Linked DNA regions of Oreochromis niloticus. The main gene of each other region encodes a partner of the protein of the gene in region 2 in a complex. Links are inferred from orthologs where the notes say so. Each region holds a gene or a part of one and is shown on either strand. Other genes may lie near its edges.

Region 1 (7,678 bases), on a different chromosome or scaffold from region 2:
TATGAAATTATATAGCAAATGCATCTATTAATACAAAATCTCTACAGCCGAAATTTGTCCAAGAGAGTTGATTTGAAAGTCTTCTGAAACGGTTTTTATTCATCATGTGGTTACATTGGACCCTGACACTTTTCTGACGCCCTGGCACATGTTAAGAAGTTAAAGGTGGTCTATTTTGTCCGTTTCACCTACATATTTTACTTTTTTGGACTGTACTAGAGTAGTTTGCCATGATTCAGAGATTAAAATAATCCAGTATAATATCTTGTACTGGGCCCCTCAGTTCACCCTCTGCCTGAAACAAGCTGTTTTAGCTCCTCTGTCTTTAAGACGATCATTCCTTTAAGCTTATTTATTCTGCTTTGAAGGTTTGAACAGCAGGTGGGTGGAGTTTCTGTTCTTGCAATGAAAGATTACCCCACATTCACTGATCTCACTGACACAAAAACCAGAACAAAAGTGTGGTACAAAAAAAACTGCAGTGATCCAGACCGAATGTGGGATGTGCTTTTGGATGCTTGACTCTTTGCTTGTGTTGATGTGTCCTCCAGTCAGATCTGTCGGGCGACCACTGTGAGTGTGTGAAGGCCATCTGTGGAGGAGACGATTAACCGAGGGTTCACCTGAAGACGAGAAGAAACCTGCTTTCTCCTTCATGCTTGTGTCATTCACGTCTGCCTCTCTTTTTTGTTTATTCAGCCTACTAAATCACAACTTGTTTACAGTCTCAGCTAGACAGCTGTAAAAGGCAGATGTTGTATGGAAGCACTGCGAATTTTATAGCCAGGTCAGCTGAGAGATGTCGGCTCAAGTTTTAATGTAAATTTCAATTCTGATTGTGGTGGAAATTACAAGACGACTGCTAAAAAAAATATCTTGGAGATTGACATGTTGTTTCTTTTACTTTATAGAAGCTTCTGTCATTTTATTTCAATTGTAAAATCTAGCCATACAGCATCTCTGTAACCCTGTTTCTTAAATTTGCACACGAAGAAGGATGTAATAAAAATAAAGATTTAGTGGTGCAGTTTCTCTGTCTTATTGATTAACTAGCCACATCTAGAATATTTAATCTAATTTGCACATATTTCCATTGCAGCAGTTTTTAGCATACATTAAAATGTGCATCCTTTCTGAAATCTTTGAAATTAATCAAGTAGAAATGGCTCCTCTGTGCTGTAACTGTTAATCTATTACTGAATGAATAATAAAGAAATTGTCATGTAAAGCAGTTAATTAAGGGAAAGTAATAAATATCAGCTCAGAATAGGTTTGGAATTGTTTTCTTGGTGTCTCTGACATCTGCATATTTACTCACAAATAAAATCACTGTGGAAAAGGAGTACTTTATAGCACTGAATTAATACTTTCAAGCATATCAACTTTTTACCAAAATAAATGTTATATTTCTACATAAGAAGCTTAATAGTTGTACAATCAAAATGCTTTTAAAGTATCTAAAGTATCTAAAGTCATTAAATTCTTAGAGTGGCACATTTCAGAATCATATACATTATATTATTGGATCTAATTATTGACTGTGGCACCAGCAAGGCCCAATCATATTTCAGTGGTAGCCAATGCTACCAAATGTCCCTGATCTGATTTGTCAATGCTTATGTTGGTTAGAAAGGATTCAGTCCTGCAGCTCAGAGGAGTTAGAGTGAGGATAAAAAGCAGTGAGCGGTGCTGAAAAGTCTGATCACCAAAAACAAAAGATTTTCACTCTGCACAAGAGCTGACATCATGATACTTTTTTTTTTCTTTTTTTTTTGTTTTTTACATTTTAAGACTAAAAAATGGAGCTCTAATGTTGTTTTGACCAATAAATATCAGCTTCAGGTTATTTGTACTGCTAAGATGACAGACATTAGGATGGGCATGTATGTAAATTACAATTCTTGTGATTATGCAAGAGAAAAGGCAGATGTAGTATTATATTGTTTTAGTGTGGGTCAAAAGGAAGTAACACATTTATCATTATCTTGCACAGCGAAGGTTTTTCTGTCCTTTTGAACAATTTCATCTTGCTAAAAGGGGTGACAAAAGTCAGGAAACACAAAAGCTCCAGTATCTGATCATTTTACTGGATAGAAAATAGATAATGGGATAATGAGCATAGCAGTGATCAGGAATTGCTTTCAAAGTGCAAATTTGTAAGAATCAGGTGGTGGACCTGTTCCTCCAGCAAACTGAATACACTCATCATCATTCTACAGGGGAGGTATTGATGTATTTACTATTTCAGCATGTCATGTGCAGGTTAAAAGAGAAACATCTCAGCGAATTTATTAAGGAAGACCAAGTGGGCAGGGAAAAATAACAAATAAAAAAAAATCAATCTTCCAGATTTGCAGCGGCCTTCAGTTTAATGATGCAGGATGACCTTGTGGTGAGAGAGAAAATAAAGCTTGTCGTAGTGAATTCAGGCTGCGGTTACAAAACAGAACTGTGAAATTTAGCTGTAACAAATGCAAAGAGGTTCATGCCTACATATCATTTCCATGCTTCATGAGTGAAACCCCCATGAACAAAAACTGTTTAAAGTAGGATTAAAACACAGCTGCTTTTCCTTTGGATCAAAGTAAGACTTCTTTAGGGATCCCCAAAAATTATTATATGCAAAAAGATTAGCTGTATTGAGTTGAATCGGTGTCTATGGAATTCTCAGTTTAAACATCTGGAAAGTTCCCATCAGTACTGACAGGCTTATAGAGTTTTTACAGCAACATATGCTGCCGTCCCGGCAGTGTGTTTTTCAGAACAGGCCTTGCATATTTCAGAAAGTCCGTGCTAAATCACTTACTGATTACAACAGCATGGCGACACAGTAGAAGAGTCCTGGTGATGAACAGACCTGCCTGCCGTCCAGACCTTTCACCAGGTGACAACATTTGGAGCATCATTAAAAAAGAATATCTAACACTGTTGAGCAACTGGAAGCTATAATATTTGCATCTAAAATAAGCCACAGATGCAGAAAGAAGAATATATACCAATACTGATATAAAGTACATTAATCAATAATCGGATAACATTCCTCTCCCACAAGTTCAGCAATTCCCAAAAAGAACCGCTGTTAAAAGAAGAGGGAACGCAGTGGGAAACCTGGCCCAGCGTCATTGAGATGTGTCACTGCCATCAAATTACAAAAAAGCGGTAAAATATGACAACACGCATCCACTTTTCAGTGTAGGTTTCTACACAGTATAAAGTGTGTAACCATAGAGGAAATGTTCTTAGTTCTAGTACTTGCCCACTGACTTTCTGTTTTTTAAGTGATTTATTCCGGACTATGATGAAACTGTGGCAACACTCAGTGAATAATGTTTTTATTTTTCTTGAGTCAGTCCGTTGTACAATAATGCTCTCAGTCTACATCTGATATTCTTACCCTTCACAAGAATAGTTTCTGGTGTATTTATAGTGTGTCAGTTTTCATAAGAAACATATTTTTGACCCGTGCTGCCATCTAGTGTTCAAACACATGATTTTTCTGCCTGAGGATACAGTATCTTCACTGCCATAAAGTTTGATGATGCAGGCGGTCCATCATTTTCAGGGTTAAATCATTTTTTTCTATTGAAGGTTCATCTTATCCTGGTGCTAATGAGGAAAAACATCTCTCCTAAAGTTTACCTACATCTAGGGTTTAAGGCTTTACACAGGTGCATTTTAAACAACCCAGCAGCAGTGTTGCAGGTACAGTAACACTGCAGTTAATCAGACAGCAGACCAGACACTCTAACAGAGATTCAGCAGTCGCTATGCAGAATCAGTATGATGGGCTTATAGTTACCTTTTCATAGATATCAGCACATTATGGAGTAAAAGGAAATAAAAGGGCAAATGAACTAGTTCTTATGTGGTGCTTTTCTGCTCAAGCACTCACACACTTTATGCAACATGTTCCATTCACACATATTCATGCAAACACTTTCTTTTACATTTAGGTGCTTTTCTGTCTTACATTCACACACATTCACACTCCTGAATGCATCAGGAGCAACTCGGGGCTCCATATCTTGCCCAATGATACTTTGGCATGCAGACTAGAACAGCCAGGGATCGAACCTCCAACTTGCTCTACTTCCTGAGCCACAGCTACCCCAAAAATGTGGTTGCAAAGGAGGTATAATGAGGCAGCCAATGACGGAAAACTGGGAAAAGCAATGGAAGGGAGAAATGAGAGGATGATGGTTTTACAGGATTCAAAAGAAAACACAAGAAGGAACATGAGAGGAACACAGGAAGGACTGGGTTACATCACGACTTGAATTTAGACACAGTGGTTTAAACAATTAATCATTTATAGCCAGAAAACACCAAACAGGTAAATGCAATGGGACTATTGTTGAAATGATGAAACCAGAGAACATGTTATATGTCAGAAATATGAGGGTGAGAGAAGGTAGTCAGTGTAATCAAAGTTAAAACAGATCTTATCGATTTACTGCAATGGAAATTCAGAAATGAAAGTTATCAGGTCATATTTAGTTATAAAAATTGGATTGAAGTTATTTATTTATTTATTTATTTAGTTAGTTAGTTAGTTAGTTAGTTAGTTTTGTTTTTTGAGCGACATTGTGGCCTCCAGTCCATACCAGTTGGTGGCGCTAATGCACCAAAGTTAACAAGAAGAAGAAGAAGAAGAAGCCCTGGGCGGGTGCGTGGTCGGTGTGTGTGCGAGCACGAGCGGAAACGGCGTTTGTTGTTCTTCCCTCTGTTTCCGAGACGTTCAGGGTCTAAACGGGTTCAACAGCCGCGTCTGCATGTTGCTGCCAATTCCCGCAATAACCCGTCTTCTACCGCCCCCGAATGAAGGTAATGTCAGGTCTCACTTTGTTTCTGTGCTGCTGCCACCTTCTCCGTGCTCTCCCGGGTTCAATAGCACTTAAATCCGCTCGTATTCGTGCCAAGTCCTCTCCCCCGCAGTCCGCCTCGGTGGCTGCCCGGGCGGCTCGCGCCTCACAGCCGCTAGCCAAGCAAATCCAGCGGCGTGCTCGGAGAGCGCTGCAGGTTTAGCCGTGTTTGGGCTTCGTGTTGGAGCTGTTTGAGTATATGGAGCTGTGGAATATCTTGGCGTGTGCACATCCAGAGGGTGTGTTTACCTCGCTGTCAGGTGTGACAGCTGGAGGGCGGTGGGCCGAACTTCTCCTGAACGGGCCCGACCGTGTCACTTCTGACATTATGGCTATGTTTGGATACTCAGCTGTTGAAACAGTTGCCATCGCTATATTAAAAAAAAAATGAAATAAAATAAATAAGAACTCCTCAGTCCCTGAAAGGTGGTTTTTGTCAGACTATTTCGGTTGTGTGCGATAACATCTGGAGCCTAAACTATTGAAATCCCCTCCTGCTTGTGATAAAAGTCTCTGCTGGAGCTGCAGATTCGTGCCTGTCTCCATATGGTTGTGATATGAATCGATGCCAGCAAGCTATATATCTGTCACTGCTCACTTGTGACCTGGTAGTAGTGTGTAAACACGTTATGTAAGTCCTTCTCCAAACTTATTCCCCTCTGCCAACCCTCACGGCAGCTGCTGCATAATAGCCGTGCGCCTTCGTCTTTTCGGCTTTGCATACTTTTCATGTTGACATACACGCTGCTCAAAAGTTATGAAGTGTTGTGCATGCATGGCTTTGCTGACTGGAGCGGAGTTTAAATAACCTGCACGCTCCTGCTTCAAGCAGCGGTCAGCCAAGGTTATTAAAGCAAACTGAAACTAAACTAAGTGTGCAAAAACATTTTAGTTAACCGACATAAAAACAGAAACTGGATGAAAGTAGAATAAAACAGGGTTCATCTACACTTTTATTTTATTTAGGCAGGGTTTTGCATTGTAATGTGGTCATATAAAATCAGCCAAAGGTCCCATCTGACTCCCTCAGAATCAGCTGCTTTTAATTGCATACTATATTTAATGAAGCAATACAAAATGTTACCTTCACACTTTGAAAATCTTACCAAGTGACAGCCCCTGGAAGTTCAGGGAAATTTGGCTTTATTTATTCATCAGAACTTATTAAGTGCAGGAAATACCCCACAGTCAGATTAATTTTACATCTGTTCAGAGTGTCACAGTCTAAAGCCAAATTTTGTGTTATTACAACATATTTGCTTCTATAAATTTGAGCATCAGGTTATGTGTTATGTCATAGTTTAATTCGCATAACTGCATCAGTTTCATGTCAGTGACATAGAGGAACAGAGAAAAGGTACCCTGGATATTTGAACTTTGAAGTTTTCTGATAATTCATTGGAGAAAACCTAAAAAAAAGTGCATTTTGTTTCAATTCTGAAGGGTAATGCCACCATGTGGGACGGGAGGCTATACTGGAAGATTATTTTGGCACAGAAGTAACCACGGTTAGGGAAGCACCTGGTTAAAAAATGTAAAAAGGAGACCTTTCTTATGCTTTAACCAGCCACTTATGGTAATATTTGTTTTTCCTCGCGTGAACTAAAACTGACAGATTTTGTAGGAAAGGGAGTTTAGTGTTTGTGAGGAAAACAAGAGCACAGAAACCAGATAAAGAATTAAACTCTACAAGCAGTTTCTATAGTGTTTTTGTGTCTGAGAAGAAACTGCAGTAGTAGTTGTTTAATTCAGTGCGAGTATTTGTAACTGAACTTTGAGCCATTTTAATCAAACTTTGAGATGATTCCAAAACGGAAATCTCTGTGAATCAATTGTTTTTTAAAGCCAAGTGGTCCATGGATACATGTGATGACTTATATTAAAAACATGGATATTTCATAGCTTTGAAATAAAAAAACAAAACAAAACAAAAATCTGGCATGTAAGTAAAATCAGCCAGAAACATTTGTAGGCTTCAGCTTTTAAAATGCAATGCTTTTTCCTCACATGTATGATACTAAACTGTGGTTTGGACTGTTGGTCAAACTAAACAAGAGCCAAATGTAACATAATGGACATTTTTCTCTTTTTGTTTCTGAGATCAAGAGAAAATAAAAGGCAAAATTTCAGCCTGTATTTGTTGGAGACAGCAGGAGACCAGGGATTCAATAAATGCCTTTACAGACCTCCTTCTTTAAACTTGCCTTTCACAGAGGGCTTAAGTACAGTGTTGTGTTTTCTCTTGATTGGCACCTTGATTTGAGGCTGTAAGGTAAACCCCTGCTAGAATTAATGTCTGATTCTTGCTCTAAATAACTCACTACTGTCATCCTGTTTGGTCAAAAGGGTGGAAACCGCTTTCAGTCAGCTGCTCAAAGATCAGAAATTTGATGCTTTTATTACAAAAATGTCTCTAGCTGAGTTTTTTTTCTTTCTTTAAACCTACTGGGAGAGTTACGTCAGAGTATCGGCTCTTTGTGTCGCTGCCAGTTCTCCTCCAGGTGCTCCCTCTGTGGTTTTCTGGTTTGGCATCGTGTTGGTCCAGACATTGTGGTATGCTACGGGTGGGAAGTCATCTCTAGCAGCGACGTGCTGGTAAAAGCTTTCTGAGGCTGCTGATGGTAAATGGTTGACTGCTGCGGGTGGGGTGAATGAGAGGGAAAATATTTTGCAGAGTATTTAAAAAAAGTTTTTAATAAACGTATAAACTGGTGTATGTGAGAAGAAGTGTGGGTCTGTTTCTGTTATCAGAGAACTCGGTTACATTGCAAACAGGCTGTGTTTTCCTTTAAGAGTTTTTAATCATTTGTTTTTTT
Region 2 (7,829 bases):
CCTTCCTCCTTCTCCTCCTCCTCCTCCACTACAACCTTAACACAACCCAACGCACCTCTGCCTCCGAGCTCACCTTCTCAACATGCCAGCTCACCTTCCCAAGCAAACTCGCAAGCGAATGCGCCAAATGCCGGCACCTCCCCACCCTCTAACTCTTCCCCAAGCACATCCGAAGTCCAGTCGGAGCTGCTTCCCCCTGCCCCTCCACCTCCACTTTCCTCCTCCTCCTCTTCTTCATCACCTACTGAAGGTGAGTTTTCAGGGACACCTCTGCTCTCCAAACATCACCAAGTCTTCCTTTGTCTCTCTGTTTCTGTGGATTTTATCTCCACTCCAGGGAGCTAATCTTTACCTCTTTCCTTCATGTTTAACACACAGAAAATTAAAATTGAATTGAATCATGAGTCACTGATTGATTGATACGCACTGTATTAAGAAAATATGAGTTCATAACGTTGCCCCTCTCTGCTGGTCAGGCCCTATCGTCCCTCAGTTCTACAGTATGAACCGGCCTCAGCCTCGACAGCAAACCCCACAGGTGGGGGGGTCACTGCCTTACCGCCGCCCCCCATCGGTGACCGGTCAGCCAATTACAACCCAGAATCAGGTCAATGGCGGTCCCTACTACAACCAGAGCCCAGGTATGCAGTATAAAAGCAGCCACCAGTCACTCCACTCCCACATTGAGAAAGTTTGGTAAAAATTTGTCTTTTGTGTTTGCAGCCTCTCCCACGCCCCCCTCCCTGCTCCAGTTCACCCCTCAGCTTCCTCTGATGGGGTTTGTAGCTCGAGTTCAGGAGTCCAGTGAGTATTAATCTGGATTCTTTTTCAGTAATTTATCAGAGAAATGTTTCTGCACATCATTTTTCTCGTGAACATCTGTGTGTCAAAACGGATGACATCATCAGCTTTTAAGCCCAGATTCAGTTCTGGTTATGTAAAGTATCCCCCACCTCCAGTTTCAGACGCCCCCCCTCCCCCGCAGCCTGCCACTGAGAACCAAGTAGCGCACGAGGAGCCCCTGCCCACTCCTCAGCCAGCTGAGGATGGGCATGAAGAGGAGGACTCAGCAGTAGTGGAGTATAACGACCCGTATGCTGAAGAAGACCCACCGTGGGCCCCCAGGAACTACTTAGAGAAAGGTACGCCACAGAAATACACAGAGGCAACAAAATACTTACAGTTAGCATTGTTTATGAGGTTGTCTTAGATCACTCCACCAGTGTTCTTTGAATTAGCTGCTCATATATGTAGCCTCAAACTGCGTCTCCGGGTAGAATAACACAACTTGGATTTAAGGTAATACCTAAGTCAGGTATTAATGTCTTTTATACTCATTAATTGCTTTGGATATTAGTTGTTGCATTAGTCACAGGGGTGAGCAGCTAATTATTTTTTTTGTTTTTGTTTTCATTTGTGCATAAAAACTGAAATGCATGTAATTACATTTACTGCACCGCTTCGGGTGAAATGACTGAACCTTCTGTGATCATATTTCGGTGTGTTTGTCGCCCTCCAGTGGTGGCCATCTACGACTACACGGCCGACAAGGAGGACGAGCTGTCATTCCAAGAAGGAGCGATCATATACGTCATCAAGAAGAACGAGGACGGGTGGTTTGAAGGAGTGATGAACTCGACCACCGGTCTCTTCCCTGGAAACTACGTAGAGTCCATCATGCACTACGCTGACTGAGCCAAACGTGTCTGTAATCACAGCTGCAGTCAAGAACTAGAAGGGAAAATGTGACCCTGTTCCACGTTGCCATTTGTCTCCTTAAATTCACACTAATTGATCACAAGAAAGTCAGAGCTTGTGAAAACAAAACGACCACTTAATCAATAACAGGCTTTACCTGAGTGCTTTAGGACTAAGAGTTGTTTCAGGTGTGAGATATTCATTTAAAAACACCTGAGACCTTTCAACCTGCAAGTAAAATGTCAGTAAAGTTCTTTGGGTATCTTCTTGTCAACCCAGTGTAATTCAAAGAAATTATGAAATGCGGTGCTTTCCAGCCACACAACAGCTTTGTTTCTTTTAAGAACGACTACACACATTTTAGAAAAGAATGTTTAAGTGGGACTTGATGGTACAGGTGTTGCCATACATTCAGGGTATGACAACACTTTAGTTTTTTCGGGTCTCGGTCATACAAATGTGTGTATGCTGCAGAAGTGATAATTGTCCTAATAATCTAAGTCCTACTTATCAAAATAAATGACTGCACCCAGAAGATCAAGACATGAGTAGGACACATTTGATTTTATTTTTTTTAATCACAAGAAATTGATTTTAAGATGTTGACATAAGAAATTTGTTCTCTTGCAGCACATGTTGCATGCATCATACAGATGTGAAACCATTTAGTATGTAAGTGTGGTTAAATGTTCATAAATGTTTTTAGAAATCATAGACATGATCACAACAGAGTGATTATTATAATAAGTAACAGAAAATCTAGCTGAAATCTAGACATAAGCCAGTGATGTTGATTCAAATGGACACTGTAGTGTGGAACTGGTAAAAGCTAATCCTGCGTCACTTTTAATGGTGCCAATCTGCCAAAAAAAAAAAAAAAAAAAACAATCCTAAGAGCCTTATCTGCCAATGAGGTGAAAGAAGGTGTTCTCTGAGTGCGGAGTCTGGGAGATAAACTTGACATGAAGGAAACAATAAAAGAAAACACTACAAGTCAGAAAGGTTTTTATGTTAAACAAAGCGAACAGCACAAAGATCTTCAGTAACACTAAACTCAGTGAAGTTGTGTGAGTGACCTTTTTGCAAGTTGATTGGATGCCATCCTGCTCTCTTCATGGACAGTATTCAGTGAAAACTGAGCTTCTGTCCTCATAGAAAGTTCCTTTAACATCACACATCCTGCTGTGATGTGACGTCTAAGTGGAACTGTCTGTTTTCCAGTAGCTGAAGTTTTCTTGTTAGTTCTGTGTTGAATGACGCTGCAAAGGCAGAACCGGCTTTTCAGCTTCATAAATGTATGTGTGTAACTAAACTAACATTTTATCTAATCCACAAGAGATCTGATCAATCACCGAGGTCAGACCAGACAGCAGAACTAAGCTCTCCTGTGTCCGACCTCATCGTGGTTTTGTTGTCGTGTAGTAAAGTGGACCTGATCTAATCGCCAGGAGGAGATTCTGGAGCTGTTATCAGTTTTTGTTTTGTTTTTTTAAGTTTACAGTGTGTTTGACTGCATGCCTGATATATAACGGACATTTTTATTCTCCATATTCTGTTTTCTTTCTTTTCCTGTAGTTTCACCAGCTTGCTTTATGATGTCTGTTTGACCGGCTGGAGGTTGTGATGTTTCTGTGCAGTTTTTGCTTGTAATAGCCCTTTAACTGAAGTCCTGTGTGCTTGGACGTAAGACCGACTCTCAGAAAAAGGTGGATATTTTTGTGCCATATGTGTGTGTGAAGAGTTGTGTGCACGTGTGTGTGAGAACCAGTAAGAACCAAATGTTCCCTTGTTGACTGAAGTGACTTTGGACCTGAAAACAGTGTGTCCTTAATGTACAGTGTAACTTAAGAGGTGTTTTACCACAGAAACCAGAGTATGCCAAATTAAATAACAAATAAGATGAGAAACAGTTTTTCCCCTAATAGATGTTTGAGTTGAAGGAAGAAAACTTTTTTTCTTGATGCTCGTAAGGTAAAGATTCTCTCTTGTGTGGCTGCAAATAATTATTTTAATACCTACATACCAAGCTGACATTTTCAGATATTATTGTATTTATTTATATATCCATGTATTTTCAAGTTTAAGCACAAAGTGCTGTCCAGATTAAAATGGATACAACTCATCAGAAACTTGCACACTTCCCTGTAGGAGCACACAAAGAACAGAAGGTGTAGTGTGAAGCAGCACACAACCCTCTTTGAAAAGGTTAAAAAAAAAACAAAAAAACCTGGTGTAAGTTCATATGTGAACACAGCGATCACCAGCCTTCAGACAGAATGTCTTTAATGTAGACAGCAAATCGTTTGAGCTGCTCCAAACTTTGGCTCACTCTGGTTTTTGTTTAGCCTGCAATATCCCTTTAAAGTGTGGATTAAAAAATGAGATGAACTGTGAAATGTTATGGACAGCTTCTCCAAGGCCTTTAAAAAAAGAAAGAAAGAAAGAAAGAAAAGAAAATCAGGAATCTGTTTGATTGCCCTCAGTGCAGACATTAACCTCTAAACAGGACAATTCTGGGTTGAGATTCACAAAATATTTTAAGTTAAATCCCCCCCCCCCCTCCTATGTTAGTAATAATTTCATTAAACGTGACCACGAGAGAAAGTAAGACACCCTACAATCAGCTGGCAAAAAAAAAAGTCTGGACGCGCCCCTGCTGAATTGCACTCATCACGTTTGAGTTTCTTATAGGAGCTTTGGTTTCTCTTTAGATCATCGCTTTCATTTTATTTCTTCCATCTCATTCTTCAGGATCTACCTGAAAGAACAGGCCGCAGGAGAAGCTTTCTCCTTTCCAAAGTGAACATGACTGAAAGCACAATGTTCTTTAAGTGAAAATGCAAAATAAATGTCTTAACAATAAGCATGTGCTACTGCCGTGTATTTATCGGACTGGACGGTAGAAACTGCGTACAGAAGAGTTAAGAAATAATAATTAAATACGTATGGTCACAAGAACTGAGAATATTTTTTTAAAAAAAAATATTCACAAACCTGCTTAAAGGTTTTTAAAAAACTGAATGAAAGAACACTTTTAAGTGAGTGTATCGACAATGATCACTTTATTTCGACAGGACAACGCCGGAAATGATAACGTAACGCTAGGACTGATGGGTAAAGGAAGAAGCTCTTTAGTTAGTCAAACCACTATTTTATGATCAGCTGTAGCTTTAAAAGTGACTCTTATTGGATGACGCTTCACGCTTTTCGAGTCTAAAATTTCTGCTTTCCTATAGATGACTTAAATGATTATATAAAGTGTTTTAGCGAGTTTATTTTAAGGGGGAAGTGAAACGCCACTGTACGAAACTACATCACCCATGATGCAGCTCGGTATGACCGACGTACTGTCGTGAATTTAAACTGCTAATACATCGGTCACCGATTCTCAACAGTCGTGAAAACACCTGGACAAACTTGGATGTTTCTATCGGTTAATGTTTTGTTAGTTTTTGTAAGACTGTTATGCAGTTTCAGCACCGGGCAGAGTGGAGTTTGTGGGGCGGAATATTTGGTATGACTATGAAAATGCCGCTTTATGTCAGTTAGCGCCGCAATGCTAGTTAAGCTAACTTTTTGCTAACTCGTTTGATTATTTTCATTCTGTAGCTTTTCAGATTTCCTCTTCAAATATGAATTAAACACACCCGGTTCGTTGCGGAGATGCTGTATTTGCTATATTAGCTATTTAAAGAAAAACAATACAGTCTTATAACGGTTCCGCCCAAGCAGAAAAGATTCAGCTGAGGAAACCATGACACTCGCTCCGAAGGAACTGTCCAACCTGCTGAGCATCATCTCGGAAGAGGCTTGCACCAACTCCTTCGAAAGCCTCTCCACTCACTTTCATCATTACTTCGGGAAAGCGGAGCACTTCAGGGTGGGCTCGGTGTTGGTCATGCTTTTGCAGCAACCGGACCTACTGCCCAGTTCCCCGCAGCGGCTCATCGCCCTCTACCTGCTGTGGGAGATGTACCGCACCGAGCCACTGGCCGCTAACCCTTTCGCCGCTGTTTTCGCGCACCTGCTGAACCCCGCACCTGCCGGAGAGGAGCAGGAGAAGGTGCTGTCCGGTAGGTCTCCGTGTGAAAACGCTTTTTCCTGACTTTGGTTATGTCACCGAGAAAGAAATCAGCCAACTGTTTCTCATTTCACAAAAACTTGTTCAGTTCAATTAAACATTTGCGCTCAGTTCTTGTTGGAAAACACCCAGTAACACTGGCAGTCTTGGTGTGACTGTGTAACATGATGAATGAGGGCTATGAAGTCTCATCTGTTTGGTGTCCAGGCTTCCTGCCTCCCATTACCCAACCTGAGAAGTTCTTCCTGTCCCAACTGATGTTGGCACCTCCCAGGGATCTCTTCAAAAAGACACCCAGACAGGTGTCCTGCATGGATGTTGGCAACATGCCCCAGTCTGTAGACATCAGCGGGTTGCAGCTAGCGTTGGCAGGTCAGTACCCACTCACCCATAAATGATCTACTGATTGAAAGACTAGGTGTGACTGGTCAAAACTGTCACTTGTTTATACTGGTTTGTTTTAAAAGACAATTTTTTTTCTTCTTTAGTTTGCAGTGCACTTTGTTTCTCTTATGTTTTAATTCACTGTTTCTGTCTCTTTGTTGTTTAGAGCGTCAGTCAGAGTTGCCCACTCAGAGTAAGGCCAGTTTCCCAAGCATTCTCAACGATCCAGACCCAGACTCGTCCAACTCAGGATTCGACAGCTCTGTGGCCAACCAGATCATAGAGTCTCTGGTCACAGGCCCGCGCCCTCCCCTGGAAAGTAAGTGTTATTGGTGATTTGTTTGTTCGTTTTTCAAAAAAGGCTTTTGTTATGCAGAAAACAAAGAACGTTAAAAGGGATTTTAGGATTGACCACGGTTGTTGTTGGTGGAGGTGGAGGTGGGGGGAGGGGGGATCAATTTAGGAGGTCACCTCGGTAGGTCATCGTGTTCCATCTTTTTCAGAATGATTTGACATGACACAAAGACCCTGAGTCAGTGATTTCACTGTGTATGTGTGCGTGTGCGCAATTTGCAAAATGAAAAGAGTATGTCTTATCATCATGTTTCTCATCACTAAAAAAACGTTGGGCTGGTTATTCACTTCTAGCTTACAAGACAGGAGCTGTGTGAATAAGGAGATCACAGATGAAAAGCACGTAAACGTTTTGCTTTGCTGGCAGTTTTGTGGGTTTTCAGCTGTCAAGTGCACATCTGACTTATGTTCATCCATAAGTCAGATGAAGCAGCATGGTCACACAAGAACCTGAAAGTCTCACTAGTGTGTGCATCAGAGCTTCAGCTCTTTGTCGTGGTGTCCCAATATTACAATTCATCGCTCTCTGAACATGAGAACACCTTTTAAAGCTGGCACACATGTAGCCATGGTTACTAGAGTAGACCGCCACCCATGAATAAAGCTAAGTCTGAAACAGACCAGGATTATCACAAGTGTTTCAATATCGTTGTTTAATCCTCAGGTCACTTCCGCCCTGAGTTCATCCGGCCGCCGCCTCCTCTCCACGTGTGTGAGGACGAGCTGGCGTGGCTGAACCCTACCGAGCCAGATCACAGCATCCAGTGGGATCGCTCCATGTGTGTGAAGAACAGCACCGGCGTGGAGATCAAACGCATCATGTCCAAGGCCTTCAAGAGCCCGCTGTCTGCACAGCAGCAATCACAGGTGGGTCAGCCACAGAATGCTTCTCTTAAAGTCAGGCACTGAAATTCTATTTAAACTGAAACTATGGTGCTGCCACCAGCTGCCTTTGGAGTGCAACTAGATAAACCCAGAGAGGAATTTCAGGGTTAACGTTGCTACTTCACAAAAAGGAGAAAAGCACAAGACAAATATATTAAGACAAGACATTGAAAAATGGTTTGAAAAGAGTCAGAATGTGAAATCAACAGGAATAAAATGGAATGAGATGGATTAATCAGAGGATAAGCCTGATAGTTTACAGCTGATTGATAGTGGGAGTTTATTTCTGTTTCTCCAGACACTGGAGGACAGTATGCATCTTTATACAAGATGATAATTTTTTATATTTAGCCACATCAAAAATTGACATCTTTTGTCCGACCATCACTCCCAGACCCAGAGAGATTCATTATACAGTCTGTTGTTA

What was found. Proteins that work in one complex are often made in the same cells at the same time.
Region 1: cnot11 (region 2) and cnot6l share a complex: the UniProt entries of both Homo sapiens proteins name them as parts of the CCR4-NOT complex. The link is inferred for Oreochromis niloticus from reciprocal best matches to the Homo sapiens genes CNOT11 and CNOT6L.

The regions. Positions count from the first base shown.
Region 1 is NC_031977.2:33,445,275-33,452,952, reverse strand, and holds the start of cnot6l (CCR4-NOT transcription complex subunit 6-like), read left to right. Parts: upstream 1-4,662; 5' UTR 4,663-4,824; intron 4,825-7,678. Other genes in the region: anxa3a (annexin A3a), read left to right, coding at 552-611. UniProt on the Homo sapiens protein: Has 3'-5' poly(A) exoribonuclease activity for synthetic poly(A) RNA substrate.
Region 2 is NC_031987.2:29,387,661-29,395,489, forward strand, and holds the start of cnot11 (CCR4-NOT transcription complex subunit 11), read left to right. Parts: upstream 1-4,824; 5' UTR 4,825-5,031; intron 5,032-5,037; exon of another isoform or gene 5,038-5,212; intron 5,213-5,307; exon of another isoform or gene 5,308-5,430; 5' UTR 5,431-5,452; coding exon 5,453-5,771; intron 5,772-5,986; coding exon 5,987-6,151; intron 6,152-6,329; coding exon 6,330-6,482; intron 6,483-7,181; coding exon 7,182-7,384; intron 7,385-7,829. Other genes in the region: abl interactor 2, read left to right, coding at 1-250, 477-641, 724-804, 960-1,142, 1,520-1,695. UniProt on the Homo sapiens protein: Component of the CCR4-NOT complex which is one of the major cellular mRNA deadenylases and is linked to various cellular processes including bulk mRNA degradation, miRNA-mediated repression, translational repression during translational initiation and general transcription regulation.